4 linked regions of the Lonchura striata genome follow. The protein of the gene in region 2 purifies or fractionates together with the protein of the main gene of each other region. This does not show direct contact. Links are inferred from orthologs where the notes say so. Each region holds a gene or a part of one and is shown on either strand. Other genes may lie near its edges.

Region 1 (7,793 bases), on a different chromosome or scaffold from region 2:
TTACTGTTGTATTTCTGCATACTGTACAATTCTCTAACACTAAAATACTACCACTCCTCATTTTCTCATTTCCTTCCTCTGCCTCAGTTGAAGTCTTTCAGACAGTTCTTAATTTACCTACTCCTTGTAACTCAAAAAAAATTCAACCTCTATCATACCTTGTAACTTTCTCCCTAAGTCACACAACCCTCACAATAAAAGTTACGAGGTTTAGACAATGGTGCAACTTCTGATATTTTTTTCTGTATCAAAAAAGAGATAACAGCCTTATTTTAGATAAATTCTGAAACTAGTCTAAGATTCAGAATATTGCAATTAACTAGTGAAATTAGTTTTACACTCAGATAAAGTGTTTGGAATTGTATATTTCTTAGGGGAATTTATTTTCTTGAAGCAATGACTACCAAGTAATGTCTGTTTATTATGGGATAGCACATAAATAGACAAAAGTCAGTACTACAAAATACAAAATACAAGTACCAGAATGCTGGCATATCAATTTTTGTACACATCTATATACACACAAACACACATATCTAAACACATACCATCTATAAATGGTGATTGAAAAGAAATCAAGTGTGCTTAAATTATGCTCAGAGGAAGGGAGGACAGCACACAAAAGCATGCAAAGCAAATCACCTGTTTCTCATCAGAAAGCACTGGGTTTTCTTCACTGCTATTAGTTTCCTCATGAGAGGTCCTCTTTTTTTTGTCCTTACCACGTCTTTTTGTAATAAAACACACTGAATCAGACATAATTTCCTCCTGATTGCTTAGTTCATCTGACTTAATGGAAGAAGATGCACTCTTTACAGGACCCTGTAGCAGAAAAAAAACTATAACTGGAAGATATCCAACACAAATACAAATTAAATACTCCAGGGACAGTTTCAATTTTATTATTTAAAAAAGTATTTTACACAGAGGATAAACAGTAGCATGCCATGTAGCAGAATAATAATCAAGAAACTGGCACTATCCAGATTCCCCTAAGCATTAAAGCTCATTGTTTGGAGACTTTAAATACAATTGAAATGATTGGTTTATCATATTTCATTTTAATAAGACTATAAAAGCCTAATATTTTTTATTTGAAATCTAACTTGCATGATGCCATGACCCTCCCATATTTGTACATTTGTGGAATACTGTTCACCAGTAAAAACAGGGCTCCTTTCCTGCTCGTGAAAATTTTTAAAAAGCTGACAAGGTTTACACCAGTTCCTCAAATCTTTAAAGATTTTTAAGGGATGCACTTAAAGGCAGATGCATTTTAGAAAAAGCAGATAGCAAACTACTTTAATCAAAAATATTGCCACACTCAACAAAATAATTAATCTTACAGAAAACGTTAAAGAAGTTAGGAAAACAACACATTAAGAGACAAATAAAGGACGTAGCACAACTGTATTGCTTTAATTATAAATGGAAGTAAATTGTCGTAGATGCAAAATGCTTTCCAATTAGTACCTAGTCCCCTTCATTTAGGCATGCAAAATTAATAAAATATTTTTATATTTAGTATAGAATAGTGTCTGTAGCCAAACAAGCAAGAATTAAGGTTTGTTCAGTGGAAATTATGTTATTGTTCACAGAGAATAGGCTTGTATTGATGCTGAAAAATATTGTTAATTTTGGCAGCTGAAAAGAAATAAGATTTAAGTCATATAGGCCACTTCAAAACTAACATTAGCATATCAATTTCTATCAGTATGTAAGTACTTTAACCTAAGGGCACTAAGAAGAAAAAGGTATTTCTATTACAGTTCCAATTGTGGTCAAAATCACCCTTCAGCATATACTCTGCTCTATGAGTTACATATTAAGGATTACATTTCTTAAAAGCAACAGCTGATTTATTATGTTACCATTTTTTCACTTTCTTCTTTTGTCCTTTCAAAGTGTTGCTTCAATGATTCCAGTAATTTGTCTGCCTGAAGAGAAATCAAAACACATGAACCAAACAGTCCATTGAGTCACTGAAGAGCTGCATAAGCCCAGCCCGCATCCTATAAAGTGATCCAACAAACCAGCAGAACATTTCCTGAATCCAAGAGAATGAGGTCTACCTAGGACTCGTTCAAGTCAGTCAGTTAGAGAAAGTGCCTAAGGCCACAGATAAACATGTAGATATCCTCCACCGAGGCACAAAGGCAATTTTCCATGCCTAGGTTTCTCCTGCTCTATTTTCCAGGGGGTTAATATTCAAGGAAGGAGATAAACTGTTTTAAGCCCCATAGCGCAGCTGAACTTGAATTAAAATTGTGTCAAATTTCTGCAATTGCTTCTGTCTTGCCCCGTGCTACGTGCAAAACATTCTTTTCATCCCTGTCACGCATTCAACAGTGATAGTAACAAAACAACAATGAAAACACACCACTGATAAGCCAGGCTATGAAAGACTCTTGAACACCTAAGTGGAAAGGTCAGCACAAAAACAAACAAAGTACCCCAGAACTACCATTCCCAGAAAAACTCTTGGTCTGTGAGGACAGGGAGCTGCCTTGTCCACCCAAGCCGTGGATCCTTCTTTTAAGGCTTTACGAGCTGTGCCATTGCTGCCAGGAGGAGCCCGGCCGTGCCTCACAAGCACCTGCAGCTCCTGGCAGGAGCCTGGGGCATCCTTAAACTTCTCACCCCTTAACCGCGCCCGCCAAACGCATCTCCTCCCTTAAGGTACTCTCTTGTCACTCTTCCTCCCACTCCGAGTCGTAAGGGAAAAAAACAAACCAAACCAACCAAACAAACACAACTATCCGCACTGGCGGCGGACAGCGCGGGGTCACCGGCGTGGGGAACAGCCGGGCCAGCAGAGAAGGGAGCGGCCTCCCCTTCTCGATGCCCGGGGGACACCGGAGCCCCGCTCTCTCCCCACACTGAGTGCTTGCCCGCCTCCCGGACGGCAGCACAGCCCCGGGGCGCCCCGGCGCCGCTCCAGACGCGGGAGGTGCGCCCGGCGAGGCTGGGGACGTCACGCTACCGGGCACGGGGGCACCCCAGAACCCGGAGCTTCGTGGGCAGCGCTGCCTCGCAGCTGCCCCCGCCTCACCCGCAGGTTGGCCCTCAGCCCGGCGGCCTTGGCGATGCGCTGGAGCTCGGCGTATTTCAGCGCCTCCAGGGGCTGCAGCGAAGCGAGCGCCATGACAGCAGCTCCGACCGACCCGCCTGCCCGCCGCGCGCCAACCGACACCGCTCGCGCCGCCCCCGCCGTTCGAACTGGCCCGCTGCGCCAGCCCATTGGCTGGGCCGCCGAAGGGGCGTGGCCGAAGGGGGCGGAGCGAGGGAGCCGCCAATGGCGGCGCGGCCCGCCGCGCGTGCTTATTTTCAAGCGCGATGAGGCGTTCCCGGCAAAGAAAGTCGCGCGCGGTGCAGCCCGCTGCCCAATAGCCGCGGGCGGCGCGGATTGACGCTCCTTCTGTCCAATGGCAATACAGAGGTGCGCACCACGCTCCAATCACGATGCTTACGATGCTTGGGGGCGGGCCCCGCGCCCGAGCGCTTGGCGGGAGGAGATGGCGGTGCGGCAGCGGCTGCGACAGCTGTTCCAGGACCCGCAGACCGTCGGGGCCATTGTGCTGGAGCGGGCGCCCGCCCTTGCCTCTACCGCCTGCGTCTCGCTGTCGGCGCCCCGGACGCCGCCCCGGCCGCCGCCCCTGTCGCCGTCTTCCGTGCCGCCGGCCGAGGTGCCGGCGTCGCCGCCGCGGCAGCAGGGTCCGCTGCCGGAGGAGTGCGCCGTGTTCCACTGCCGCGGCTGCTGGACAGTGCTGGGAGACTCGCTGCAGCTGTGCGGGCAAGAGCCGCCGGGGCTTAGCGTCCTCATCTGCTTCAGTCAGTGCCTCCTCCGCGCCGGCTGGTGCTGAGGACGCGCCGCTGCCCCGCGCGGACCTCGGGGCGGGCAGCGGGGCTTGGTCCGGGGGCTCTCTGCTGCAGCGCGTCTCTCTTTCTCCTCAGGAGTCACCAATGATGTGACCTGGGAAGAGTCGCTGTTGGTCGGCCTCGAGGGAGCCCTCCTGGGATGGTGCGTAGCTCCCGTAGTTCCGGCAGCGGACCTGCCCGAGTGGCCGCCGCGGTGAATCGTGCGCACGAAGCCGGGAGCTCTCCGGCCTGTGCGCGGGGATGCTCAGGAGTTTGGCAAGTCACTGCCAGTGACTTCTGTGCCTGTTTCACACCTCGGATGGAGATACTTTTTGTAGGGATGTAGTTCTCACTTGAAATCGAGATTTTTGCTGCTATAACCTCTGTAGGTGGAGAGAAACATTCGAGCAATGCAGTAGAATACAGCTTAACTTGTAGGTCCCTTTCTTCTCTTCCCTCAAAGGTCTCTTGCTTAAAGCATCTCTGGGTTTTGTTTGGTTTGGTGGGTTTTTGGTTGCTTTGGTTTGGTTTTGCGGGGAGGGGTGGCTATTGGTTGGTCGGTTTTTCTTAATACTGAAAATAAAAAACTTGTGCTGCCCCATTCAGGAACCTATCTTTTGCAAGGTTTGGTAACTCAGTCTAACGGGAAGAATGTAAAATGTCATCTAGGGGCTTACAGAACCAGTAGCTTGTTTAAATGATTTTTAAAAGCTGTTTTATAAACTGTCAGAACTGGGAACTGCTTCAATATAAGACTTGCTCTTTTTTTGACTTTTTTCCTTGCCCCTCTCTCTGCATGGGGTAATGATATATTTTATTAGAATTTTCAACTGGTGCATCCATTATTTTATTATTTAAATTATGTTTGAGTAGAATATGTAAATCATTCTGTGATAATAAGATGTGCATTTTCTTCCTTAACAGCAACTTCACTTATTTGAGAGATTGCTTCTTTCACAACATGCCCAATTTCTTATGGTCATACTACTTTGTACATATTACTTTTCTGAAGAGGATGCGTTATTATGCCTTGGATTTTTTCCCAATGGAACTGAAGATTTTATGCTCTCTGACAAATATGCAATATCTGTGGTTTCAAAAGCTTCTGTTTAAAAACACTTCCCTTTCTCCTTTTAGTACTTATTATTTATTATTCTGTCGATCTTGTGGCTCGGCTGTGGGCTTCATTCTTTACTCTTCTGGCAGTGACCTGGTGTATCTCCGGGACTTGTTCTGTTTCTTCAAGGACAGCATCATGTGGTGAGTACACTGCATTCCATGGTCAGTGACTTCACAGGTAGTTTCAAGTCACTGTACAACTAGCCTACAGCTAACAAAAGTGGTTTAACTTCTGTCTGAGCACATTGGTGTGGGATATTAATATTCTTGATGACTAAATTGTGTTGATGTGAATCCCTTTGATTTCCTTGCACCTCTTGAGTGTCCTTGTGCAATGCAAGACTTCATACTTCGTTGTGTGCAATGCTGAAATCTCTTCAGTTCCAGATTCATTTAGCTAATGTAAGGTATCAAAGTGATTATTTGATTGGTTGAGAACTTGACTGCAGAAGCTGTAAATTACTGAGAGGATCTTGATTCCAAAGTAAAACCATTGCTGTATTTTGAATATTTTCATAATTATTACTTTTGGCAACAACCTTGTATCTGATTTAAAATAATTTTAAATCATCTGTCTAAATAGTGCAACTACAGGTTTTGTAACTGTGTTTTTTTTCCCTTTCCCGTTTTGTTTTCCAGTTATCTCTTAAAAAATCAAATGATTGTAGAAGCTTCTAAGGTCAATTTTCCAGCTGTGACCTTAAAGGAAAACATGCAGAAAGTAAGATTTCCACAATAATGGAAAATACTTTTAAAATACTGATAATTTTGGACATTAATTCAAAAACATTGATACAAATGTGGGGGTTTTAAGTGCTTAGGACTGAGAAACTGCTGCCTTATATGACAATAACTGACTCAATGCATGAGACATGAACATTTTCTAAGACCCCTAAACTGCATAACATACCCAGTTCTAGTTAAATTTTGGCAAAAGTTTGTTATCCTTTTATCTTTATACCTTGCAAAGAAAAAAAACCCAAAAATAATTTATACAGACTTGGCCTAAGCATTACAACTTGTGTTGTCATTGTTGAAGAATTTAAAATCAGAATTTTTTTAATATGAAAGGGATTTTTTTAAAGAGATATTTTTATGTCTGTGCAAGCTCAAAACAGCATGGCAGTATTTGTTGTTTCAGAGAGAACTCTAGGACCTCCCTCCTGTTTTGGTGTTCAAATTGGATGTTCTTATCTGTAACTTGACTAGTTTGTTAGTTAATTGCCTGTGCCTTAGCTCAAATAAAGTTATTGTGTGTAGGAGACAGCCAGCATATCATATTTATGTGATAATTTGTTCATTACTTTTTTTGGGTTTCAGTTTGGATTTTAGTTTCTCTTGTAATGGACCTTTTACATTTCTTTAATTTTGTCCTCTTCCAGTTTCTGTAAGATCAGACTGTTTTTACAGGTCAAGTGAGGCTAAGATACAAAAATCCTATCCAGCTAAAACTTCTGAAGTTGACACATGATTTAGTAATAGTAAATGGCTGAAGTAAAAATATGACAGCACTTCATTGCAAACACAAATTATGTGACTGTAGAGACTTTGCTTATTGACTAGAACAAGCTCAAGCATCTGGCCTTTGCTTTTTGAGACATAATGTCCACATGCATTCCTAAGCTAATGATAAAACAGTTTGTCTACATATTGTCATAGGTTTCTGGCTGTGTGAAAATTTGAGTTAACTAGAAAAGATCCAGTTCATCATAGTAAAACTGCAGCAACTCCATCTTCCATTATGCCCCTGGAAGGACTGATACTGGCACACATTGATCCATCTCTAGTTTGTAGTGTAGCCTTCTGATCTGGGTGCTGGTTTTGTCAGTACTAAACATGCAATATAGAGATCAAGCCCCTCTATACTTTCCCATCTTGAAAATGAGCTGCTCTTTAGCCACTTAAAAGTGGGGTGCAGGTCATTCAAAGGTCCAGTGTTAGGACTTTTTTTGCTAATTTTAATACTCTTCTCTTTTTTCCTAGGTGAAAGAAAAGCTTGTGGACTTGAGTGCTCGCATAGAATTAGTAACAGAACATCTGGATAAAATAACAAAATAATTATGTAAAAGAACGGCAGAACTCTTCAACAGATCAACTGATACACATTTTCAAGAACTGTTGGAAATGTTTCTGCATCTCTGCTGTGTTTGGTCATTACCAAGAAATATTGCACCAGAGTAATTGATCTGTTACTTTATCTGTGTGTGGAACAAACTGATGATGAAGTGCATCCCTTCAGGAACACCTGAGAATCTGACATACTGAAATTATGCTTGGAAGACTGAATAGTTCACCCATGCAGCATGTTACTCTTTGAAGCTGTGTAAATGTGACTTTAGTTTTGTAGTGACTTCAGGGTGAAAACTAGCCTTTGAAATACTGAAGTCAGGTTTCTGGAGCTGTGCAAAACATACTTGGCAAGGTGGAGATATTCAAGAGCAACCATTACAAACTGAACATTCTTAGAGACCTAGAGCTCTTGTCCCACCATTTAATAGACACATTGTTAATGGCAGTCTTGGTTTTAATGGCAGCTAGTTTTTGGTCAAGTGCTCATTAGCTACAACTGATATGTAAGCCACTGCTAAATGGACTCCTGAATAGTTTTGAGATTTGCTAGTGTGTGTTGCCTGCAAAAGCAGCAGACGAGCACATCACAGATGCTGCAGTGTTCTTAGAGCATGAGTCTGGATGGCACCATGGAGGAAGAACACAAGGTTTTGAATTTAAGGTAATGGGCAACCCACGTGCCAGCAAAGTCAGTCCCAGGAACAGGACTGAGTCAAATTCTGCCAGCTAAGGCTGTGAGCAACTGC
Region 2 (7,739 bases):
CTCATCCTCCTGCTTCATCCCCATCCTCATCCTCCTGCTTCATCCCCATCCTCATCCTCCTGCTTCATCCTCATCCTCATCATCATCCTGCTTCATCCTCATCCTCCTGCTTCATCCTCATCCTCATCCTCCTGCTTCATCCTCATCATCATCATCATCCTGCTTCATCCTCATCCTCCTGCTTCATCCCCATCCTTGTGCTTCATCCTCATGTCTCATCCTTCTTCATCCTCATCCTCGTGCTTCATCCTTATTCCCCTGCTTCATCCCCATCCTTCTGCTTCATCCTCATCCTCGTGCTTCATCCCACATTCTCATCCTCCATCTTCATCCTCCTGCTTCATTTCCATCCTTGTGCTTCATCCTCATCCTCATTCTCATCCTCATCCCCCTGCTTCAGCTCCATTCCCATTCTCCTGCTTCATCCTCATCCTCCTGCTTCATCCCCATCCTCATCCTCCTACTTCAGCCCAATCCTCCTGCTCATCCTCCTGCTTCATCCCCAACCTTGTGCTTCATCCTCATCTGCCTGCTTCAGCTCCATCCTCATCCTCCTGCTTCATCCTCATCTGCCTGCTTCAGCTCCATCCTCATCCTCATGCTTAATTTCCACCTTCATCCTCACCCTTCTTCTTCATCCTCATCCTCGTGCTTCATCCCCACCCTCCCGCTTCATCCTCATCTTCATCTGCCTGCTTCAGCTCCATCCTCATCCTCCTGCTTCATCCCCATCCCCCCGGCCCATTCCACCTCCTCACCCCACACAAATCCCCGGGGCCAGCCCAAGCTCTGCCTCTCACGGAGCAAAGTAAAAATGAAAGCTTGGAGTAATCCCACAAGTCTGAGAGAAATGAAACCTTGGAAAATCCACACTTCCTCTTCCACAGGAGAAATGAAACCCTGCAAAATCCACACTTCCTCTCCCACAGGAGAAATGAAACCCTGCAAAATCCACACTTCCTCTCCCACAGGAGAAATGAAACCCTGGAAAATCCACATTTCCTTTTCCACAGGAGAGGAGAAATGAAACCTTGGAAAATCCACATTTCCTCTTCCACAAGAGAGGAGAAACTTTGGAAAATCCAGGTTTCTTCTCCCACAAGAGAAATGAAACCTTGGAAAATCCACATTTCCTCTTCCACAGGAAAGGAGAAATGAAACCTTGGAAAATCCACATTTCCTCTTCCACAAGAGAGGAGAAACTTTGGAAAATCCAGATTTCTTCTCCCACAAGAGAAATGAAACCTTGGAAAATCCACATTTCCCCAGCTCTTCCCAACACCAGCAGATCAGGACCACGAGCAGCTCCTGCTCATCACCCCAAAATCCCTCAGAGCTCAGCCCTGCAGCTCCAGGCACAGCTTGGGGTGGTACTGAGCCCCCCAAAAACACCAACCCAGAGGATTCTCCCCTCCAAACGGAGAGGTCCAGCATCAACCCCGAGGGATCCTCACCCTCCTTCCACCAGCACCACAAACACAGAACCTCCGTGGCTTCTTCCCCAGCAGGCCCGGGGAGCAGAGGAGGAGCTGGGGGGTGACCGGTGCCGGTTTTTGGGGTGCCAACGGGGCTGTGACAAGGACAGCACCGGGACACCGGGACTCGGCACCCCCCAGTGCTCCCCATCCCTGCGGGGAGCAGCCAGAGCTGCAGCCCCAGAGCTTGACTAAGCAAAATCCCTTCTGAAGCAGCAGCAGCCCCAAGCCCCCGCTCCGGCCCCGCCATCGCACCCGGGGATTTTGGGGCTTTTTGTTCCCCCTTCCGTTGCTTTTTTCTGACTTCTTTTCCTGCTCGGGTTTAAGGTCAGCGCGGGTACAACTCCCCCTGCCCAGCCGAGCCTCCCTCCCCCACCACACATCCCTGAGCCCCTCCCCGGCTCCCGGAGCTGCGATCCCGCCCGGGCCCGGCTCTCCGGGGGATGCGGGGCTCCCGGTGCACCGGGCAGCAGGACCGCACAGGGCTCCCGAGGACACCGAGACTGGGCAGCAGGGCTGGGCGGGGGTCCCACAGGCAGCAGCACCGGCCAGCAGCACCGGCCAGCGGGGCTGGGCAGGGATCCCGCGGACAGCACAGCGGGGAGAGCGCCCCGGAGGAGCGGGCGCTACAACCGGCCGGGCGTCCCGCGGACGCCGGCACCGGGAGGTCGGGCTGGGCGGGGGTGCGGCGGGCACCAGGACGGTCCGGGGGTGCCGCGGGTGCTGGAGGCGGCCGCTGGGGCCGTCCGGGGGTCCCTGCGGGCGGCCGGGCTTTAGGACCGGGCGGCGCCCGGGGCCGCGATGGCCGCGGCGGCCGCACATGGCCCGCGGCCGCTCCCGCACCGGCCCCGCCCCCCGGCCCGGCGCCGCGCGCTGATTGGCCGCCGGGCCCGCAAGCCGCGCCGTGATTGGCCCGCGCGGCCGCCGGGCGCGGGCAGGGGCGGCAGCGGCCATGGCGGCCGGGCCGGGCCGGGCCGAGCCGGGCGGGGCCGCGGAGCGCTCGGGGCAGCGCCGGCCCCGCCGCCGCCGCCGGCTCCGCCGCCGCCGGGACCGCCCCGAGCGCTCACCAGGTTCTCGATGGCCGCCTGCTCCAGGAACTTCTGCGCCGCCTCGAGCTCCGAGCAGTCTGCGGAGGGGGGAAACCGGCGTCACCCGCGGCCCAACCGCCCGCGCCCTCAGGGCTCCCGGCGCGCTCCTCACCGTGCCCGGGAGCCTCCCCGCCGCTCCGGTTCCCGCCCGCCTCACGGCTTCCCCCGCCGCCCACGCCCTCCCCGCGGCTGCGGGCGCCGCCTCGGCCGCCCCGCGGCTTGCGCGGCCCCCGCCCCGCCCGGCCCCGCCGCCCTCAGCGCTCAGCCCGCGCCTCACCCGGCGAGACCGTCTTCTCCAGGATGGTGATGAGCTCCATGGCGGCGGCGTGGCGGCTCCGGCGCCGGCGGGAGGAGGAGGAGGAGGAGGAGGAGGAGGAGGGGAAGGGGGGGGGGGAAGCGGGGCGGGCCGGAGGAGGGGAGGGAGGGAGGGAGGGAGGGGAAGGGCGGAAAGCCGGGGCCTGCCCCGCGGAGGCCGGAGCGGGGCAGCAGCAGCAGCGGTTCCCGGTGCGGCTGCGGGGCGTTTGGACGGGAGAGATTCTTTTCGATTTAAACAAAAAAAAAAAAAAAATTAAAAGAGGGTGGAGAAGAAGGAAGGAAAAAAAAAAAAAGAAAAAAAAGGGAAAAAGAAAAAAAAAAAAAAAAGAAGGGGCCGCGCGCGAGCGGGGAGGCGGCGGCGCGCGCGCGCACCGGGCGGCGGAGGGATACGCCGGGAGGGGCCCCGCGCGCGCGCGCGCCCGCCCCGCGCCCGCCGCGCTGATTGGCCGGCGGGGCCCCCCCGGCCCGGCGCGCGCGCTTTCCTATTGGCCGGGCCGGCGGCGCGAGGCCATTGGAGGGGGGGGGGGGGGTGAGCGGGAGGGGGGGCGGCAAAAGGGAGGGAGCGGGGGAGGAAAGAAGGGGCGGGGCTTCCGGCGGCGCGCGCGGGGATTGGGCGGGGCCCGGACGGGACCATTGCCGCGGGGTGGGGGGGGCGGGGGGGCGCGACCACGTTGGGCCGCGCGTGGGGGGCGGCACCGGGAGCACCGGGAGCACCGGGACGGGGAGCGGGGTCACCGGCACTGCCGCCGGTTCCCGGCAATGCCCGGGGCAGGGCGGCAGCGGCACCGGAACCGGCTGGGGAGGAGCCACGTGCTCGGCGCGCGGCGGGAAGCGGAACCGGCGCCGGTTTCCCGGGACCGGGGGTGTGACCCGGTGTGTCCCGGTGTGTGCAGTCCGGCAGTGCAGAATCGCTGCGTGACGGGCATCCCGCACGAAGCGGGGTGTCCCGTGGTCGGTACCGGTGGCCGGGCGGGGCACCGGGCCGGTCAGCACCGGGGCGGGGATGGGAGCGCTCCCCGGTGCGACGGCCCCGGCAGAACCCGCCCCGCACCGGCTCCGGTGTCCGCCGAGTCCCTCGGTTCGGGCACCGCGCTCCTTGCGCATCGCGGTGTGTCCCCAAAGCGGGGTGACAACCGAGGGATGCGGGAACGGGACGGGCGGAGAGCGGCGGGACAATTAACGGGGCCGGGAGGGCGAGCGGTAATTAGTGACGCTCGCCGGAGGCGCGGGGACAAGCGGCAATTACCGGGACACCGCCCCGGGCTCGGCCCGTTCGGCATCGCCCGCTGCCGAAGGGTTCCGGGATCCCGGCCGAGGGATGCAGCAACGGGAGCCGCGGGAATTGCGGGAGGAGCGCGGCCGGGACCGGGCAGGGCTGGAGAGGGACGGGGAGGAATTCCCGCTGGGAAAGGAGCGGCGGGCACCGGGACAGCTCCGCAGGGAATGGGGGTGATCCCAAAACTGCCGCAGCTCCAGGGGTTTCGGGGTGGATTGGTTGGGGTGGATTTTGGGCGCTGGAACAGCTCCCCTTGGAATTATGGTGATCCCAAAACTCTCAGAGCTCTGGGATTTTTGGGATGGATTCGTTGGGTTGGAATTTGGATGCTGGAACAGCTCCCCATGGAATGGTTGTGATCCCAAAACTCTCAGAGCTCCAGGAGTTTTGGGATGGATTTGTTGGGTTGCATTTTGGGCAAAGATCTTCATCCAAAGGTTGGTTGAGTGCTGGGACAGCTCCCCATGGAATGGTGGTGATCCCAAAACTCTCAGAACTCCGGGAATGTTTGGGTTAGATTTTGGGTTGGATTTTGGGGTTTTTCCCCACTGGATGTTTGAGCACAGGGCCAGCCCCCCATGGAATGATGGTGATCCCAAATCTCTCAGAGCTCCAGGAGTTTTGGGATGGATTTGGGGGTTTTCCCCAGAGGGATTTTGGGGCACTGGAACATTTCCCCATGGAATGTTTGTGCTCCCAAAGCTCTCAGAGCTCTGGGATTTTTGGGATGGATTTTGGGGTTTCCAGCTCAGGGGGATCAGGCACAGGGCCAGCTCCCCATGGAATGATGGTGCTCCCAAATCTCTCAGAGCTCCAGGAGTTTTGGGATGGATTTGGGGGTTTATTCCAGAGGGATTTTGGCACTGGAACATCTCCCCATGGAATGATGGTGATCTCAAATCTCTCAGAGCTCCAGGAGTTTTGGGATGGATTTGGGGGTTTATTCCAGAGGGATTTTGGCACTGGAACATCTCCCCATGGAATGTTCGTGCTCCCAAAGCTCTCGGGGCTCCGGGAACGTTGGCCGGCGCTGCCGGGGCTGCCGAGGGCGGATTTTGGGGTGTCCTGCAGGGGTGGCAGCTGGGCCGGATGATCCCTGGGGGTCCCTTCCAGCTCCGGAGGTTTGGGGTTCCCGGGAGGCGCTTTGGAGGTGGGAGAGGATTGCTCGGGATGGGCTCCGAGGAAGAAGTTTTTGCAGGGAAGCTCCGGAAAGGCGGCGGGGATTTCCCAGAGCAGGAGCCCTGGAAGTGTCCCCGGGTGGGATCTGAGGTCCCTTCCCACCCAAACCTCTCCAGGAAAACCCTGGAGTGAGGAACCCCTGGGAACAGCTGCCTGAAAATTCCCATTCCAGCTGCAAACAGCTGCCTCCATCCCCAAAATCCTGACCTCCAGCTGCTTCCCAAAGCCACAGCAGGCAGAGGAGGAGGAGGAGCAGCTCCCGGAGTTCCGGAATCCAGGAGAATTCCCGGCCCCATCCCGCTGGAAGCTGAGGAGAAGCTGCCCCGACAGGTCCATCCCAAATCCCGGAGCCCTTCCCTGGGGAATTCCCAGGGAATTTTCCCATGGAAAAGTGCTGCCCCGAGGGAGGATTTTATTCATTGCTGGGGAAATGGGTGCGCCCAGGGCTCTGGGAAATATCCAATATCCGGGGAATGTCCATCATTCCTGAAAAAATCGGGGTTACAGGGAATATCTGTCACTCCCTGAAAAATCCGGGATACAGGGAATGCCCATCACTCCCCCCAAAAAAACAGATTATGGGGAAATTCCATCCTTCCCTGAGAAATACAGGTTATAGGGAATATCTGTCATTCCCTGAAAAATCTGTGTTATAGGGAATGCCCATCATTCCCAAAAAAAAACCAGATTATGGGGAATATCTATTATTTCCTGAAAAAATCCGGGTTACAGGGAATATCCATCATTCCCTGAAAAATCCAGGATACAGGGAATGCCCATCACTCCCCCAAAAAAAACAGATTATGGGGAAATTCCATCATTCCCTGAAAAAAATTCGGGTTACAGGGAATATCTGTCCTTGTCCTGCCCCTCTCCCCAGCACCACTTTGCCTCATTTATTAATACGTATTTATTGATACATATTTATTAATACATATTTATTTATACTGCCTGTATTTATTTATACAGATAAAGATTTCTTAGGAAAGGCCAAATCCCAAAATTGATTTATTTGGGAATTTAATTCCTCTCAGGGCCTGCATGAAACTCCTCACCCCAAAATCTCCTCTTTGTCCTGCCCCTCTCCTCAACATCATTTTGTCTCCAGTGATAAAAATAAAAATTTCCTATGGGAAAACCAAATCCCAAAATTCATTTAATTGGGAATTTAATTCCTCTCAGAGCCTGCATGAAACTCCTCACCCCAAAAAATTCCTGTTTTTGTTCTGCCACTATTCCCAACATCGTTCAGTCTCCAGTGATAAAAATAAAGATTTCCAATGGGAAAACCAAATCCCAAAATTCATTTAATTGGGAATTTAATTCCTCTCAGAGCCTGCATGAAACTCCTCACCCCAAAAAAATCCTGTTTTTGTTCTGCCACTATTCCCAACATCGTTCAGTCTCCAGTGATAAAAATAAAGATTTCCAATGGGAAAACCAAATCCCAAAATTCATTTAATTGGGAATTTAATTCCTCCCAGAGTCTGCATGAGTTTCCAGGCTCAGCCTTTTCCCCACCCCAAAAAATTCCTGTTTTTGTCCTGCCCCTCTCGCCAACAGCGATAAAAATCAAGATTTCCATGGAAAAGCCAAATCCCCAAATCCCTTCCACGGGGATTGAGCCTGGCTGTGTTTGCTGCTGTTGTTTTGTGCCTCTCCCAGCCCAATCCCATTTCCATTATTTCCATTATTTCCATTATTTTCATTTTGTCCCTGTGCAGGGAGCAGAAGGAAAAGCAGCTTAGCTGGTGCTGACACAGAAATTCCCAAACCAGCCTCGGGAATGCAACAGCTCACAGCCCCAAAATTCCCATTTTTGGGATGTTTTCCCAGGCCGGGAGTGCCCCCACGATGTTATTCCATCAAGTTTGTGCTGTTTAATGCAAATTGTTTTGATTCATAATTTGGTTTTTTTCTTCCTTTCGCTGCTAAATGCATTTCTGGAGTGCCTGAGGGTGGTTTTTATTCAGATTAAACAAGATCTGGTCTGGGTTTGTCAGCTAAAATTCCAACCCTGGTGGCACAGGAGGGGTCCTGTAAGTGACACTTTAAAACTGAGTTTTGGGTCCTTTCAGGCTAAAAACTAAACCAAATTTTGGGTCCTTTCAGGCTTGAGTTTTATGTTCTTTCAGGCTCTAAATAAACCCAGTTTTGGGTCCTTTCAGGCTAAAAATTAAACCCAGCTTTGGGTCCTTTCAGGCTCCAAATTAAATTGAGTTTTGTGTCCTTTCAGGCTCCAAATAAACCCAGTTTTGGGACCTTTCAGGCTAAAAATTAAAGTGAGTTTTGGGTCCTTTCAGGCTAAAAATTAAACCAAATTTTGGGTCCTTTCAGGCTCCTAATTAAATTGAGCTTTGGGTCCTTTCAGGCTAAAAATTAAACTGAATTTTGTGTCCTTTCAGG
Region 3 (7,847 bases), on a different chromosome or scaffold from region 2:
GGAAGATGCAAAGACAAACCGTACTTGACCACAAAATATCTGTATCTGCAAACTTTTCATTACCCAGTTCTAATCACTGTCTTTGCAACCGTATTATTTTATGGTATAGTTTCTTACGTGTTTCTAAAAGACAAAGTACAATTAACATGCAAATAAAGAACTGCAATTTTAAGGCCTTTGGAGGTCATGAACTTTTACCACTCAAAGTGAACTTTCAGTGTCTCTGGAAAACCATCAGATGAGAACTGCTTCTGAGTTTCATCTGCTTTTGAAGAAATGGCAAAGCTTGTCCATTCCAGTATCTGACCTTGTGGTTATGGGTCTCCAGCACAGTCCTCTGCTTCACATTCCTAGGTAAGCATTTTTATTATGTTTCTCTCTGATCAGTCCCACCTTTCTCTCTGAATATTCCAGTTAAACTGCTGTCTTTTTCACTGAAGCATTCTGCTTACTCCATGTAGGAACATCAGCAAGTTTACCTTTCTGTAAATATTTCACAAAGTTTCTTACACAACTTTAGCTGTCCTGTCATCTCTTCTGCATTTTAGATTTTGTCCAGCCTGTTGTCCTGGTTTTGGTTGGGATAGAGTTAATTTTCTCCCTAGTAGCTGGTACAGTGGTGTGGTTTGAATTCAGGGCGAGAAGAATGTTGATAACACAAGGATGTTTTAGTTGGTGCTGAGCAGTGCTCACTGCAATCAAGGGCTTATCAATGTCTCATGCTCTGCCAGCAAGCAGGACAGAAGGGGTTGAGAGGGAGCATGGCCAGGACAGTGACCTGAACACAGAATGTCATGGCCAGCACGGAAACTGGGAGGGGCGGTGGCTGGGAGCAGCTGATTGCTGCTTGGGCATGGGATGAGGTCAGTGGGTAGTGAGCAACTATCCTGAGCATCACTGCTTTTTCTGGGTTTATTTCTTTCCCTTTTTTTGGTTCCCTTATCATCATGATCATTATATTTCAATCACTAAACTGTCCTTATCTCAACCCAGGCTTTCACCCTTTTTTCCATTCTCCTCCTCATCCCACTAGGAGGAAAAGTGAGGGGCTGCATGGTCCTTAGCTAGCTGTCAGCTGGAGCTGAAGTATACCAGCCCTTCTACCAGCTCTAACAGCCTGCTTCCAGTCTCCTGACTACTTCTACAACCCATCTGATCCCCTTTCTCAGCCTGTTCTATTTTTCCTATTCCATTTGCCCCTGAATCTCTCCTGCTCAAGTTGTATTTATGTTTTGTATCACCTCCTTTCAATACAATCCTTTATTTAACTGTATCCTCTACCACATTTGTGGCTAAAACTACTCAAGGCATTAGTGAGCTAAAACAGCTTCCTCATTTACAGTGCTTGGACTGAAGAAGGAAAATCAAAAGCATAGGAGAAGGCTCTCTAGCTCCTAACTGTGCCTAGTCCCACCAAGTCCTAAAGCAATCTGTGTAACACATAAAGCTCCAAGCCTATTTCTAACATGATGCATACCCTGTTCAAAGGATGTCTGGGAAAAAAATATACACAACAAAGCATTTCTCAAGGATTCCTGAAAGGACAACAATTTGGCTGGACTGGGATAAGGCTTTCACAGGGACTAAACCTGTAACAAAGGCCAGCTTCCTTTCAATTTTCAATTCGCTAGTGCAAAGAGTAGATAGCACTAAAGCTCTTGACAGGGAGGGAGAAAAAAAAAGTAGCAGCATTCTTAACAAAATACACGTTTCTCATTCTCAGAGCAGCTTAGTATTTGGGTATTTACTAACATAGCTTCTGAGACATCCCCCAGCCCTCCAGTATGGATAACTAATAACTTTGCATTTCCATACTTCCATCTCTACAAAAAATGCAAGTAAAGCAGTAAAAACGTTGTTTTACCCATTTGCATAAAACACTGTGCCTGAAACACTCTTTATTTTTACTTCACAAATATGCAAGAACACCCTGCTCACCTAGTCAAACTAGTATTACCCTTTTTTTGCCTTAGTCTTATTCTTAGCATGGAACAGTAAAGCCAAAGTTCATGTGCACATATGACCCGGTGAGTCAAAATGATAACTTTACTCAGCATCACTACAAACCCAAGGAAGTAAAACCCTGAGTGTGGTGTTGTGTTTTGTAACTGAGTAAAAGCCCAGCACTCATGCTCAGTGACTACATTACCTCTGACCCAACATTTCGGCGCTTTGCTTTTTTAATAGCTCTGTTCTTCAGGACCTCTTCACTTGCCACAGAGAATGTTCCCACCTTGAAGAGGAAGTTATGGAATCATTAGTGGAATATTCAAAATACACAACATGAAGGGATGGCCAAGATCAGGTTTTGAACACAACTCTAACACTGCTACCAAACAAACAAGGGGAGAAGTTAAAATGCAGCACTGTCATCGGCTTACCAGCTACCTGCAGGTGAGTTGATACTTGGAAAACTCTTTCTGGTTCTGCACTACATTTCTCTTTGTGCTATTTCCATTTTATTAAAACAAATAATGTAAGTTTTGTTTTGCTTTTTTAAAACACAGCTCTAAGATCTCTCTGCTGAAGGGAATCTGTCAGTAATCCACAGTTTGGAACAGTTATATGGAGATGTGGGCTCTAAGGCAACCTCCAGCAGCCTGCTGTAGTTCAAACACTAGCAAAGACAGCTAATGGCTCAGTACCACCCTGCAACAAATGAGGAAATTAAGTTTTCTTATATTCAAATTCCTGGAAGAGTTAGTTTTCTTTTTTACATTTACAGGCCTAAGCGTTTAATACTTTTAGTTGGACAAAAACTAAACCAGTTTGTTTAAATATGAGCCATAAGGGAAGTATGAGACATTAAAGGTGAAAATGTCTTTTTACAATTAGGTGAAACATACCACTCAACTATTTGCCTAATTCCTCCGGCTGTGTGGAGAAATTCAGCTAAAATTAACATAGCTCTAAAATCAGCTATTACTGACCCTCAAAAAATATACTGGAGGCATACAGAGCATTTATCTCCAGAAATCAAATCTGCTTTTAAAGAGTCCAAAAGCATTTTAACAAGCCTGGGGTTCCCTCTAAAAATATTAAGTTCCTTTCTCCAGAACCACTGACGAAATTTTTACTCTTAAAAGCTGTTTTGCTATATGGTCTGCATAACTGGAAGCTTTATAGAAATAATTTTTTAAAAATCCACTTCTATAAAATTATCTTTAATTGCTAAACTTTTAACCAGTTCTACTGTAGGTTTTATGCACAAGATACACAACAAATGTAAACAGCTACTAGCGGGGAACTAATTTGTATTTTACCTCTTCAGCTTCATCCTCTTGGTCCCAGTTTCGGTCAGTCAGTTCCTTTTCAGCAATTCTCTTTGCCATTTTTCCACACTTGTTGGGGAGAAACAAAAAATCCTAGAAAGAATTGCACAGAAATTAAATTCTAAGTGGCAGTGATCTTCAATTTGTATTCTTAGAACAAAAAAACAGGAACTGCAGTTCATATAGAAGCAAGTCAAGATTGGAATGACAACTGAAAACCAAGTGTTGTGGCAAAAACAGCCAACAGCACTTGAGATTCAAGTTGTGGTGATCAGCCATATTCAATCTTAAAGAACAACAGAAATGTACAGTGCAGTTATGGGATAAATATTATTTGGCAGATGGAAAAATTCCTTTCGGAACCATAACTCATATACTCGTATTCTGAAGGGCTACAAAAACCCCAAAGCTGTGGTTAAAACATTCCATATTCCACTCCACATTGCCACCTCAGGATACCTATGTAAGCAGCAAGAAAAAAGGGAGTTGCTTTATAACATCTGAAATAAATACTAATGAGGACCCACTGAATCAGCTGAGCAGAGAGCTTGGTTAAGACCGAAGACAATGCTCTCCTTTAAAAAATTGGACTGGTTGTCCATTACTAATTTGAAAAAAAAATTAAATAAATGAGATTGGCTTTCCTACAAAGGACACATAAGTCATGCCATGGATTTTACAGCAATTACTGTAAGCAAAGAAATCATGATTTTGCTGGTTATCTCTGTGATGTAAAGCAAAATCAGCTTTGCAGAAGGAATGTCTGTAACTGTTCTCAGTCCCATTTTACTAACGTATAACTTATGAGCTGTGTACAAAACCAGAAAAAGAAAACATGGTAGCTGGATTCAGTCTAAAAAACCGGGCAAGCAATCACTGTACAGGAATTTTATGTGAAAAAAGATGTATTTCACTAACTATGGTTATATCTTCTGATACTAAATGTGTGTAAACTTACCAAAGGAAATATGTAGTTTTGTTGCAATTTAAATCTCAAACAAGCACAAAAATTAAAACTCTTCCAAAACCCCCTTGGGTTTGTGATTAAGACCTGCCCAGAAAAAAAAGACAAAAAAAAAAAAAAAAAAAAAAAAAAAAAAACCACAAATAGCTGAATTTCAGAGCCAGAAATTGTAACAATATATTGTTACAAGGCATCTTGTTTATATATTGAAACATTTTAGAGCAGCAAATCCAGAAGGACAGCAGTCTTGGGAGATGATACATCCAAGTCCTAAATTTTGTCTGACATATATCACAAATAAGGTCAAGTTACTAGAGCTTCTGGAAGTAGAGGGACAAAGATTGGCTTGTGTATACATATTTAAATGCCCTGATCCACTCTGTCCTGAAAGTAGACATCCTTGCCTGATAACCCCTGGGAGATCATTTCAATCTAACCCACTGAAAAGCTAAAAACAAGTTATTTTAAAGTCACCTTTATTTAAATTATTGTTTCATTATATAATTTTTATATAGAATGTGTTAAATTATGTAATACATTTTAATTTTTAAGTTATAATAAATAAAGGTATTCTGTATATATATGCTGCGTATATTCATATTATGTATATATACTATATATTATACTATAATATACTATAGTATACTATATTATATTAGTATATAATATACTATAATATAATTCATATTATATATAATATACTATATACTATAATATAATTTAAATATATTAGTTTCATTATTACATTAAATATTTGAATTATTGAAAGAGCACATTAACTACAGAGCCTGTCCCCCGCCAAAAGAGAGAAAACCTTGTCTATGTAAGCTCCAGATTCTCTGCACCCACTGGTGTTTGCACAGTTTCTCTTTAAAAGCATTGTAGAGGATCTAACGTGACTCTAACAGAGAACTTGAAGTGAATTCTATCCCGTGAAACAAGAACCAGCACAAACCTACATCTGGTTGGTGTTCACAAACTTCATGAAGCTTTCGGAGCACGTGTTCTGAACAGGCTGACATAGAAGTATTTTGAGAAACGTATCGAATAATCACGGAATATCCCGAGTTGGGAGGGACCCACAAGGATCACTGAGCCCAGCCCCTGGCCCCGCACAGACACCCCAACAATCCCACCCTGTGCATCCCTGAGTGTTGTCCAAACGCTCCCGGAGCTCTGGCAGCCTTGGGCAGTGCCCATTCCCTGGGGAGCCTGGGCAGTGCCAACACGCTCTGCGGGAACAACCTTTCCCGATATCCACCCTGACTCCTCTTCGATTACCAATCACGCTCAAAAACATTTCTGAACACGTTTAAAAACAACGCAGCGCAGCCGCGCTGCTGACCTGCAGAGATAACAACACCCAGCAGCTTCATAGCCTGTTTACCGCTCTCTAGCCAGGCTCGGCGGTCACCCGGGCAGCGAGGCCCGGAGCCGGCGGGGCCGGTGTCCGTGCGGGTCCCGGGATCCCGGAGCCGGCTGCGGGCCCGGCGGGAGGAAGCGGAAGCCACCGCGGATCCGCCGTTCCGCTGCGGCTCCCGGCGCCGCTCGCCCCGTGCCGGCCGCGCCCCGCCCGCTCGCCGCACCGCGCAGCGCTCCGCGCCTTCCGGACCGCAGCGACCCCCGCGCCACTCACTCGCTCGCTCGGGGCTCTCCCGCGGGAGGCGGGGTGTCCGCAGAGGCTGCACGGCCCGGTGCCGCCGGCCCGGCCGCTCGGTGCCGCCGGCACACGCGGGGCTCGCCGCCGCTGCTGCCGCCGCGGCCCTGAGCGGGAAGGCCGCGCCCGCCGCCGGCCCGCGCACCGCGCGTGCGCCCGCCGCGGCCGGCCGCTGCAGTACCGCCGGCGGCCGCGGGGGGCGCCGCCGAGGCGCGTGTGGCTTCCGCCGCCGGCCGCGCTCTGCGCAGGTCCTGCCGGGGCCGCCGGGAGAAATCGGATGTTAGAAGGAAATCTTCATTCTCTGCTTTTAACTGCGTCTTTGAGTGCCGCCTTTTCGTGCTGGCGAGGTACCGGTGCGTCCTCGGCCAGCAGCCTTTTGTGTAAAATAGTCATACAGTTTGGTGGCTGCCCGCAGACATTTCCGCCCCCACGCACATGCTGATAAAAAAAGTTCCTCGCCTATTTATACATTTTTATCAAATATTCCCTGGTTCTGGATTCTATAATTAATCATTGTGAAAAAATGTTTTATAATTGGATTTTCACAGAAGTTACAATGAATATTATATGTGTAATGTTAGAAAGTTAAGCTGTATTAATTCCCTTACGTAGTGTGTTAAATGTAGTTTTAGGTTCCAACAGAACGTTAAAATAGACACTATGTATGTGGGGGAAGTTGTTTTTTGGTTTTTTTAGGGATGAGATACTCGATTCGAGGAACACCTAAATCGTCCAAGAGAAGATAAATCTATTGTTTTCTCATCAGAAGAAGCGAATTTCTTCAGGCCTTGCTCAGACTCGAAAACACCACGGAGATTAAAGGAAACAACATACAACAGACAGAGTTTCTTGTTTAAAATAGAATGTATGCATAACCATAAAGATGTATGAATATGCAACAAGTGTATTGTTTTGAGGTTATTCCTTTATTCACAAGTCATGCTTTTCATGACTTAGTGTCTGAGAGCATCCAGACATCCATAATTCTTTGCCTTTTATTGTCTTGTAATTGTCCTAACTCTAAACTTTTATTACTTTAATTGTATTACTATATTTATAACCATTTTATTATTATTAAACTTTAAAAATTTTTAAAAACCAAGTGATTGGCGTTTTTCACATACATTTTTATCAAATAGCCTCTGGTTCTGAATTCTGTAATTCATCATTTTTTGTGGAAAAACTCTGATCACTTGTTTTTATAAAATCTTTTATAAAGTCATAAAATAGTTATTGAAAATAGTAATAAAATCAGAATAATAAAAATTTGGACAATGAGGATTAGAACGCTACGAGACAATTAAAAACAAAGCATTAAGGATGTCTGGATGTTTTTGGGCACTGAGCTGCCAAAACCATGCCTTGTGAACAGAGGAATAACCCTTACAAGTAACAGCCTGTTGCATATTCATATATCTCATACATTATGTATAAATTCTTTGCAAATTAAGAATTTTTTCTGCTTTTTGTCAGCTTCTTCCCCTTAATCCTGGTGGTTCCATAAAGAGGGAGAGAAGGTGGAAAAATGTTTTTTCCAGTAAGGAGCCAGTACCTCTTTATGTGCCCTGTCGCTGTTATCTCTGCAAAGAGTTTCTTAATTATCTTCTCCCTTTTCTTGAGCTAGTAAAAAAAAAAAATCTTACATCATAGTTTCTATATTAGCATTATGTTATAACCTAGAGCTATATTTAACACAATACTTAAGAGAATTAATACAGCATAACTAACATTACACATATAATATTCATTTTAATATTTGCAAAGAGTCAAGAACGAGTATCTCATTCTTTTAAAGAAAACTCCACATACATGGTTTCTATTTTAACTACAAAACTACATTTAACATACTATTAAAATGTTAATACAGCACTTCTAATCAATATAGTATAATACGTATAGTATTGAATTTAATATTTGCGAAAAGCCAATCATAAAAAGTGCATTTTTCAGATAT
Region 4 (8,244 bases), on a different chromosome or scaffold from region 2:
ATATTAGACGAGGACAGGACAGAAAACAGATCCTACTGTTCTCACCCCTCCAGTACTTTCTCCTCTGAACTGTAACAAACCACAGAACAACAATGGGATTTAGCTGCTGCTGACACAGTAGTCTCCTGTGTTCCACGGGAAAATTCTGTGTTTTGGTATAGGATCAAATGCACATGGGAATAAAACCTATTTACTAGCATGGCCCCACAGTTTGGTGACATGCAGTGAGATGCAAGATACCCCCAGGTGACTTAAAGGGGAATGAAATATCTGTCCTGTCATATTAGAAAAAGGTCTCACAAAGACATGGCCCCAATCTTTTGTTGTAAATTGATAAAGACAGTGAACTGACATTTGCTGCTAAGTGACTTCTAATGATTAAACAACCTTTCTCCTCTCACCCCCTCGAGGCAGTTAGTGATAATATAAGAAAGATTTTGCACATTGTTTAGCTTAAATGGCCATCTGGCCTTTCTGCATTTCAGTAGCCTTGAACATTAAAATAAAACAATAGATAAAGAAAACCAGTCCTATCTTATCAGAGACCTGGAGAAAGTTTAACTCTGTCAGAGAATTAACCAAGTCCTTACAGCTCTTTTATTGTTTCCATCCTAATTAGCAGTCATATTCCTCAGAGCTTATGTTGTACTCCCTAAATCAAGAGAAGAAACTGTCCCTTACTGGCTGTATTAATTTTAACCATGAAATACAACTCTAGCAGTTCCATCCAGCTTCCACAGGAGGTATTCTGCCCCTGGGCAATGGAGACACAATGGAGGCACACACCAAAAAAAGATACAGGTTTTCTGCCAAAATTAAAAAAAAAAAACCAACCAAACTAAACTCACAAAAAAAAATCACTAAAAAAAAAAAAAACCCTGGAATTATTGTGCAAGAAGGGAAAAGGATGCTCTTTTCAGAGAAAAATGTAATGGTCTTGGCCTAAGTCACAAACCTACTTCCTGATGCTGAGATTTCATCTAATCCCACCCCACTGAGTGGTTTCTTCATCTGCTTTTGCTCAGGGGGATAAAAAAAACAATTTCCCAAAGCAACCCACTCAAAGTCACTGGAAACAAAAAAAAAATTTGGTCTCAGCTTATGGTTGGCTTATGGTTGAATCCAGCATTTCTTCTGGGGTAAATTCCCACTCCCCTCTGCCATGGAAAAAAACTAAGAAGGGTTGAATTTGTTTGGAAAGAAGTGTGATATCCTTAAGAATGTGGCCTTGGGCTTTGAAGAAAGCAGCCAGCTAAGGATGCTTTCACCTGCAGTGCTGGAGCAAATTTGTGAGTGAAATCTCTAGCAGCAGGGAACATTTGGTGTAAACACCCTGTAAATAACAGAGGATGCACAGATATGCTGAGATAAAACCACTCAGGCTGTGTTCCCTGTGCACTTTTCATGCTGACATTGCTAGTTTGCATTTTTGTGAAAGCTGGGAGCTTATAAATGTGCTACAACATCCAGCTTTTGGGTATCAGCTGCCAGAGTGCAATAGAATCTCCAGAGTCAGGTACCTTATCCTATTTATAGCCAGAGACACTTCCCAAGGGCAAGTGGAAACTCCCACCTGGGAGCAGAGACCAGCGAGAAAGAAACATCAAAGGAGGAATGTATTAAAGTCACTTTGCATAGCCAGTGTAGGTGTTTCCATCAGCTCAGGATCCCAGGCCCACACGTTGGGGTTTAGGAGTCTGTCAGTGCTCTTTGAAGGATTGGAGCAATAACAAATTCTGTTTAACACCGTGGGTGTCAAGGTTGCATTTGATGTTATTTGTTGTATGTGCTGATCTGAGGGTGGAGAAATACCCAAGAAAGGGAAGACACTCTCCAGGCTCATCCAGGTGGGAGTCCAAACATCTCTCTCTACCTGCTGGTAGAGACCATGGCATCCTCCCAGGTGACAAGCTGAGGCACTGGGGGGTGGCTTCTTCCCATTCCTGGTAAAAATGGGCTGCAGAGCAAAATAAACCACACAGAACAGAGCAAGAGGCTTAACTGTGTTCCCTAGTTGCTCAAAGACAGGAATTTCACTTCTGTTTTCTGCTCCTAGAATTTGTTCTGGTTTTTCAACTAGCAAACACTTCAGATGAAAAGCCTGAGCACAAGTGGGAACAGCAGCCAATGCATCAAAATGAATTTGCTGTTTAATACTTGATTGAGAGGTTATCAATTGAATTTGGCAACCTGTGCCCTCTGCAGTGTTTTATTTTGCCTACAGAGGATTTTCTTTGACTGCATGCAAGTGGCTGTGGGGTACAGCTTTATAACTCCATTTACCTGTACTTTCACCAAAAACATGATCAGAAAATGTAATTATTTCAGGGCTAAATTTGAGGATAGATTTCCCTACACACTCCATATTGCACTCGATATGTGCAAGGGTGGGGAGAATCACCTTCACAAAGAATAATATTCTGTGTGAAGGAATGAAGAGCAGAAGGAGCAAGTTAGCAGATTGCCACATAATGATCTCCTCAGTACAAAATGTATGGGATAATGATAGTTATATTGCCAAGAAATAAAGGTATTCAAATTGGTTCTCAAACCTCAATGGTTAAAATGGGATATTATCATAAAATCATCAGGTCTGTATGAGAACAAGGAGTTCAACCTTTCAGGCATGGCTAATACATGCACAGGATAATGAGTTTAGAAATTCAGATCGCTTGTTTATTTTTATGAAATGGTAATATGTTTATTTCTCTTAGCACAATAAAATCAGTAGCAATCAGGAATTTGACTGGAAAACACCTGATCTGAGTGTTTTAAATGATATTATTTTAAAATCTTAGCATTATTCAAACACACTGAGGCCCTTGTGGTGACCTAAATATTGTCATTGGAAGGTGTCTCTGCAGCATGTTAAGGAACCCCATTCTGGCTGTAACCTACCTGGCTCAGGTAACACCTGCAGAGGTGCACAGCAAACTCAGGGCAGGTACTCAGGTTCCTCAAGGGCCCACAGCTGTGTTATCACTCCTCCTGTTACTTCAGCTCCTGAGATTAAGCCCAGGCCATAGCAAAGCTTCCCAAATTCTGTATGGACACCCATAAGAGTGGAAATGAGCAAAGGTGCCAATCCACACACTCCGAGAAGCAAACAAGTCTTGTTTCAGCATATTCAAGTATGCAGTAAGAAAAAAAAAACAATTTTTGGTTGAAATGATGACACTCCTAAATTCACTTTCTCCCTAAAACTTGTGTTTCAGTATGACTCACATCATTGGATTATATCCTGATATAAGATAGAATTGCTGATGTCCTCAAATTCCACTGCCATAGAAGAAAAAGAGGAGTAAGAAAATCAGCAAATCCCGAGGATTGCATTGGATTGGACTCTGTACACTCCACAGATCTGAGCTCCCATGGTTCTGTTTAATTGGATCTTTTTCAAACCATCACTTTGGCAGCACTCAGTAACCTCCATGCTGCTGTTTTATTATCTCTAGCAAATAAATGACTGCAGGATTAGGCTGGATGGTCAATATTTGTGACCTTTGCTGTAACCTTTGTCAGTCTGTGCAGAAACGGGGTGACTCTTCCTGGACTGCTCCAGTCTGGGATGCCCAGAGCCACTCACTTTGCTCGCTGCCGTGGGGAACAGCTCTGTTCTCTTACTGTGGTGCTTAATCCATTTATTGCTGTCTTAAAATCGCATTTATATACAAAATTACTGATATATTTGTGTAACGCCGGAGGGGATCCCGCATTTTCAGGCTGCTGGAAGGGCACGGCTGTCTGCCTCTGACCACCGCTCCTGCTACTCAGCAGTTTCCCGTTTCCAAACACTTTTTTTTTTTTTTTTTTTTTCCCCTCAAAGCGTCGTCCCCATTTTTGCAGTGCCACCAAGCGGATGGTTCCCCCGTCAGCATTTGAATTTCCCAGGTTACCACTTCTAAACAAACAGAGAATTCTCCAGTAGCTGAGCATTGTGTTAAACGCAACCCACCCCAGCAAACAGCGGGGTTGGTGCGATGGCAGGAAATGAAGGGTCGTTAATAAAAACCACTTTGATAATGCGTTTGAGGCCCTTTCAGACTTGTGAAGACCAGGCTTCGGCTCCTCAGGAGGTGGCACAACGCGGGTATTAAGGTGTGGATACAGATCTGTGGGCTCCCCGGTTCAGGAGAGACGTGGAGCTCCTGGAGTGGGTGCGGGCAGGGAGGACAGCGGGAATGGAGCATCTCCCTGCCCAGGAAAGGCTGAAGGAGCTGGGGCTGTTCCGTCTCCAGAGGGAACCTGATCTTTGTCTGTCCCTGTCTGCAGGGAGGGCTCAGAGCCAGGCTCTGCTCCAGGGGCCAGCAATGGCACCAGAGGAACGAGCAGGAGCTGATGCCCACAGGTTCCACCTGAACGTGAGGAAGAACTTCCCTGTGCAGTGACTGAGCCATGAAGAGACACCAGAGAGGGTGTGGAGTTTCCCTCACTGCCGATATATAATATGGATATGTAAAAAGATATTCCCGAGCCGTCTGGACACAATCCCGTTCCCTGTGCTCTGGGACGTCCCTGCTGCAGCAGGCAGATGGGGCCAGATGAGCCACTGCCGTCCCTTTCAGCTCTGTCCGCTCTGGGATTCGGTGGGTGGTGGGACGGCTCATCACTATCCCTGAGTCCTGCTGGCACTGAGGGCTTTGGAAGCCCAAACGGGTGCCAGGTGTCCCCGGTCACAGGCGACACTCAGGCACAAGCGACCCCCGCCGCCATCTTAGCACCCCCGCGCCCTCAGCGGCTTCACCTCCCTCACTCCACTATCCAATGAGCTGCAAGTATGGGCGGGACATAACCCCAGACAGCCAATGGAAATTAAGAATTGTCATCGGGCGACCAATAAGCAGCCCGCTGTGGCGTTCCGGCGCTGCCAATCACCGCCCACGGTGAGGCCAAAGGGAGCGGGCGGCCCGCGCTGGCCAATGAGCGTTGGCGGGTGAGATTTGAAAGCGAGGCGGGGCGGTGCGCGCGGGGCCGCGCGGGGCCGGGGCCGGGACGGGTAATGGCGGGCCCGGGGGGCTCGGGGGTCCCGCGGCGGGATTTGGGAGTCCTGGAGGGGCTGTGAGCGCTCGGGGGAACCTTTTTGTGCTCTGTAAGGGGACCCGGCGTGGGGGTCTCGGCTGGCGGTGGGCTGGCAGCGGTGCGTTGTCTCTGAGTTGTGGGAGCACCGGGGTGCTGGCGGGGAAGGGGCTGAGGGGACAATCCTGAGGCGACTCCGCACAGCCGGGCCCGGGTGTGCCCCGCAGGCTGCTCCGACCCCCGCGGCCCGTCTCGAAACCGTCGAGTCCAGGCTTTGCTCAGTCTCTCTTTAAAAGTAGCGATGTTTGCTCTTCCTGCTCTGTTTTCTCACTATTCAACCTAAAATGTTTTCCTGCTCGTTTTACTCTTTGGTTCTTAGGGTGTTGTTGGTCAAAAGTGTCTCTTTTCATTTCCTCTTATTTATTAAAATGATCAGCTTTAATGTTTGGTACTATACGTTAGCCAGTCACAAATCCTTTATGTAAGCCCTCTGTCCCTTTCTTGCTAATAGTCTTTACTTGTCTGTATTTAAATACCAATTAATCTTCTAGGCTCCTGTTTGGGCAAGATACTCCACGGGAACAGTAACCTGGGAAGAAGAGGAGACAGGTATTTTTGTTCTAAACACGTCTTTGGGATATTGGGCATGACATACATTTTTAATGAGCAAGGTAACCTTGCTGTGCTTAAAGAATATGGCTAAAGGTACGTTTAGGAACTTTGTACTGAAAAAGGATGAGTGTGGAGACTAAACTGCTGCTTTGAGCAGTATTTATCATCCACTGGCCCCAAAAGCCTGCTGCTTCTGGGACACAGATAGTGGAGATGTATTCCCACTGTTTTCTTTATGGCTTTCTGTAATGCCATGTAATTGCTAATAATTCTGTAATGACCAATTCTGTAATTCCTAGCAGGATCAGTTCAAATGTGATTATTGGAGACACTCATTAATTAACCTCCCTTAATCACTTAAATGTAAAGTAGGGCAAATATGACCTATGAACTACAGTGGAGTTTTTTTCACTCATCATTAGCTGGCATTTTTAATCAATTTCTGAAAGCTGGAATGCAAGATGAAGGGTGAAGCCCAAGACATTCACAATTCGGGTGGTGCTGGTGTGGACCAGATCTTCCAGAATTGTGTGGAGGAGATCCAGTCCCTGATTTGAGTTTTGATTTTTATTCCCCTTTGCTCTTTAACTTCCACTGACCATTTTTTCTCCCTTGAAAAAAAGGAGCACAATGTAGTGATTTTGGTTTCTGTCCAAGCAATTTTTGGTTTCTGTTCTAAGCAATTCCAGGAGGTTGTGCAGATGCTTTTTGGTGCAAATTTCCCCCTCCATGAACATTTTCATGGAGTGGGGAATAGGGAGCTGCCACTGCCAGCACTGATGGCATCTGGACAGGCTTGGGCTGTATTCTTTCTTCCAACAGCTCAGGTTCTCTCCTTGATTGCTTTTCCTGTAAATATATTCAGTATTTTTCTGCATTATTTATATTTTGCTGCTTTTCTTCCTTCTAAGATTTGGGTTTTCCAGCTAGGCTGCTGGTTGAGTATTTGGCTTTTGTTGGCACATAGATGGGAAGGGGATGGACACCCATTGTCCAAATCCTGCACACCCATTGTCAAGGCTTTTCAGTTCTCTGATGGTTCTTTCAGTTTGATCAGAACATGCTGTCCTGAAATGAAGAGCCTCAGTAAATGATTGATTTACCAATTAATTAATAACTGCTGGGTGTTTAGTTTAGCTCTGTCACCCTGCTTACTGTAAAGCTGTTTTCTGTAAGTGGTGGAAGATGAGATGTGTGAGGTGAAAAACCCTTGACAAGGCAAGTTTTAGTGGGGATGCAGGAGATAACAGAATCCCAGAATGGTTTGGGTAGGAAGGGACCTTAAAGCCCATCTTGTTCCCATCCCCTGCCATGGGCAGGATCACCTTCCACCACCCCAGGGTGCTCCAAACCCCATCCAACCTGGCTTTGAACACTTTCAGGGGTGGGGCAGCTAAAGCAGCATCTCTGGGCACCCTGTGCCAGGGCCTCAAGACCCTCACAGAGAAAAATTTCTTTCCAATATCCCATCTATCCCTGCTCTTTGTCTGTTTACATCCATTTCCCCTTGTCCTGTCATTCCAGGCTCTCTCCACCTCTCCTGGAGCCCCTTTGGGTTCTGTTAGCACAGCAAGTGCAAACCAACTGACAATTGGCTTAAGGCTTCCCCAGGGTAAAAATGATGGGAAAAATTCTGCTTGAAATAACCACTATTGTATTGCAGTTGCATCCTGGAAACATCCTGGTTCTGAATACTCTGCTGCATGGCAAAATTCCTTGCTATCAGATAGGCCTAATCTAAATGGAATGTTGCTTCCAAGTATTGTCCTACAGCCCTGTCATTTACTTGCTCATCTCCTTAATGTGGAAAACAGCTGTGGAGAAAGCAGCCCAGCCAATCCCAGGCATGGGTGCAGTGCCCCCTCCTAATTCTGTGCCAGGCTTGGTGACCACTCAACACCCAAACTGGTCCCTGGAATGGATAAAAATAATGAGAAATTGCTGAAAGAGTTGTTGCTGAAATTGTTATTTGAGTTTTTTCTGGTCACATAGAAAAATTAAGAATTTAGTGCTTTGCTCATAACGTTAACAAATTGGAAAACAAACCATGACAGTGTTTTCCTAATTGCTGTGATTGTTGTCTAAGGTCATCAGGATGGCTGCTACTTCCCAGTTTGCCAATAGATACAAGAAGGATTTGAGTACAGAAGCCCTCAGAACCAGGGTTGCCCGCAGGAAATCCATCCTTCAGAAGGAGAACAGGCACAAGCTCTTCGAAAAGGGCCGGCAGCTGGGGCTGGCAGATGTCAATGCTCAGCCCTCCAAGGAGAGGGGAATTCCTGAGCTCAAGGAACCCAGGGAGTTGTGCTTTCAAGAGAACAGCAGTGTGAAACAGAGTAAGTAAAGAATTGCTCTAGACATTTTTTTTTAAGTGTTAAAAATTATAAGTAGGTTTAGTAGCATTATCACAGAAACCTACTAGTCAACATTTTAATTTGACAAAACGTTCAAGATTTAAAACCCTGTCAGCCTTTCCAGGTGTTAAAATCAAGACAATAAAATCTTAATACCCTCCTCACTGCTCCAGTGGTAAGAATGAAACTTAGCTTTGATTTGTCTGCAGCAGCTGAAGGAAGAATGCATTTTTTTATTAATATTCAATAGAAAGTGTCTAGG

The links.
Region 1: the proteins of KPNB1 (region 2) and NUSAP1 purify together in Homo sapiens (affinity purification with mass spectrometry; 3 studies listed by BioGRID and IntAct, counting the BioPlex papers as one, with this or other methods). This does not show direct contact. The link is inferred for Lonchura striata from reciprocal best matches to the Homo sapiens genes KPNB1 and NUSAP1.
Region 3: the proteins of KPNB1 (region 2) and NUP50 purify together in Homo sapiens (affinity purification with mass spectrometry; 4 studies listed by BioGRID and IntAct, counting the BioPlex papers as one, with this or other methods). This does not show direct contact. The link is inferred for Lonchura striata from reciprocal best matches to the Homo sapiens genes KPNB1 and NUP50.
Region 4: the proteins of KPNB1 (region 2) and DLGAP5 purify together in Homo sapiens (affinity purification with mass spectrometry; 4 studies listed by BioGRID and IntAct, with this or other methods). This does not show direct contact. The link is inferred for Lonchura striata from reciprocal best matches to the Homo sapiens genes KPNB1 and DLGAP5.

What each region holds. Positions count from the first base shown.
Region 1 is NC_134608.1:37,492,784-37,500,576, forward strand, and holds the start of NUSAP1 (nucleolar and spindle-associated protein 1), read right to left. Parts: upstream 3,162-7,793; 5' UTR 3,146-3,161; coding exon 3,053-3,145; intron 1,938-3,052; coding exon 1,872-1,937; intron 823-1,871; coding exon 643-822; intron 1-642. Other genes in the region: OIP5 (protein Mis18-beta), read left to right, coding at 3,516-3,831, 3,955-4,021, 4,996-5,118, 5,617-5,698, 6,961-7,035. UniProt on the Homo sapiens protein: Microtubule-associated protein with the capacity to bundle and stabilize microtubules. May associate with chromosomes and promote the organization of mitotic spindle microtubules around them.
Region 2 is NC_134627.1:8,498,719-8,506,457, forward strand, and holds the start of KPNB1 (importin subunit beta-1), read right to left. Parts: upstream 3,136-7,739; 5' UTR 2,881-3,135; coding exon 2,841-2,880; intron 2,602-2,840; coding exon 2,543-2,601; intron 1-2,542.
Region 3 is NC_134607.1:5,817,604-5,825,450, forward strand, and holds the start of NUP50 (nuclear pore complex protein Nup50), read right to left. Parts: upstream 3,360-7,847; 5' UTR 3,333-3,359; coding exon 3,264-3,332; exon of another isoform or gene 2,234-3,263; coding exon 2,150-2,233; intron 355-2,149; exon of another isoform or gene 1-354. UniProt on the Homo sapiens protein: Component of the nuclear pore complex that has a direct role in nuclear protein import. Actively displaces NLSs from importin-alpha, and facilitates disassembly of the importin-alpha:beta-cargo complex and importin recycling.
Region 4 is NC_134608.1:3,587,549-3,595,792, reverse strand, and holds the start of DLGAP5 (disks large-associated protein 5), read left to right. Parts: upstream 1-4,969; 5' UTR 4,970-4,996; intron 4,997-5,567; 5' UTR 5,568-5,625; intron 5,626-7,714; 5' UTR 7,715-7,723; coding exon 7,724-7,964; intron 7,965-8,244. UniProt on the Homo sapiens protein: Potential cell cycle regulator that may play a role in carcinogenesis of cancer cells. Mitotic phosphoprotein regulated by the ubiquitin-proteasome pathway.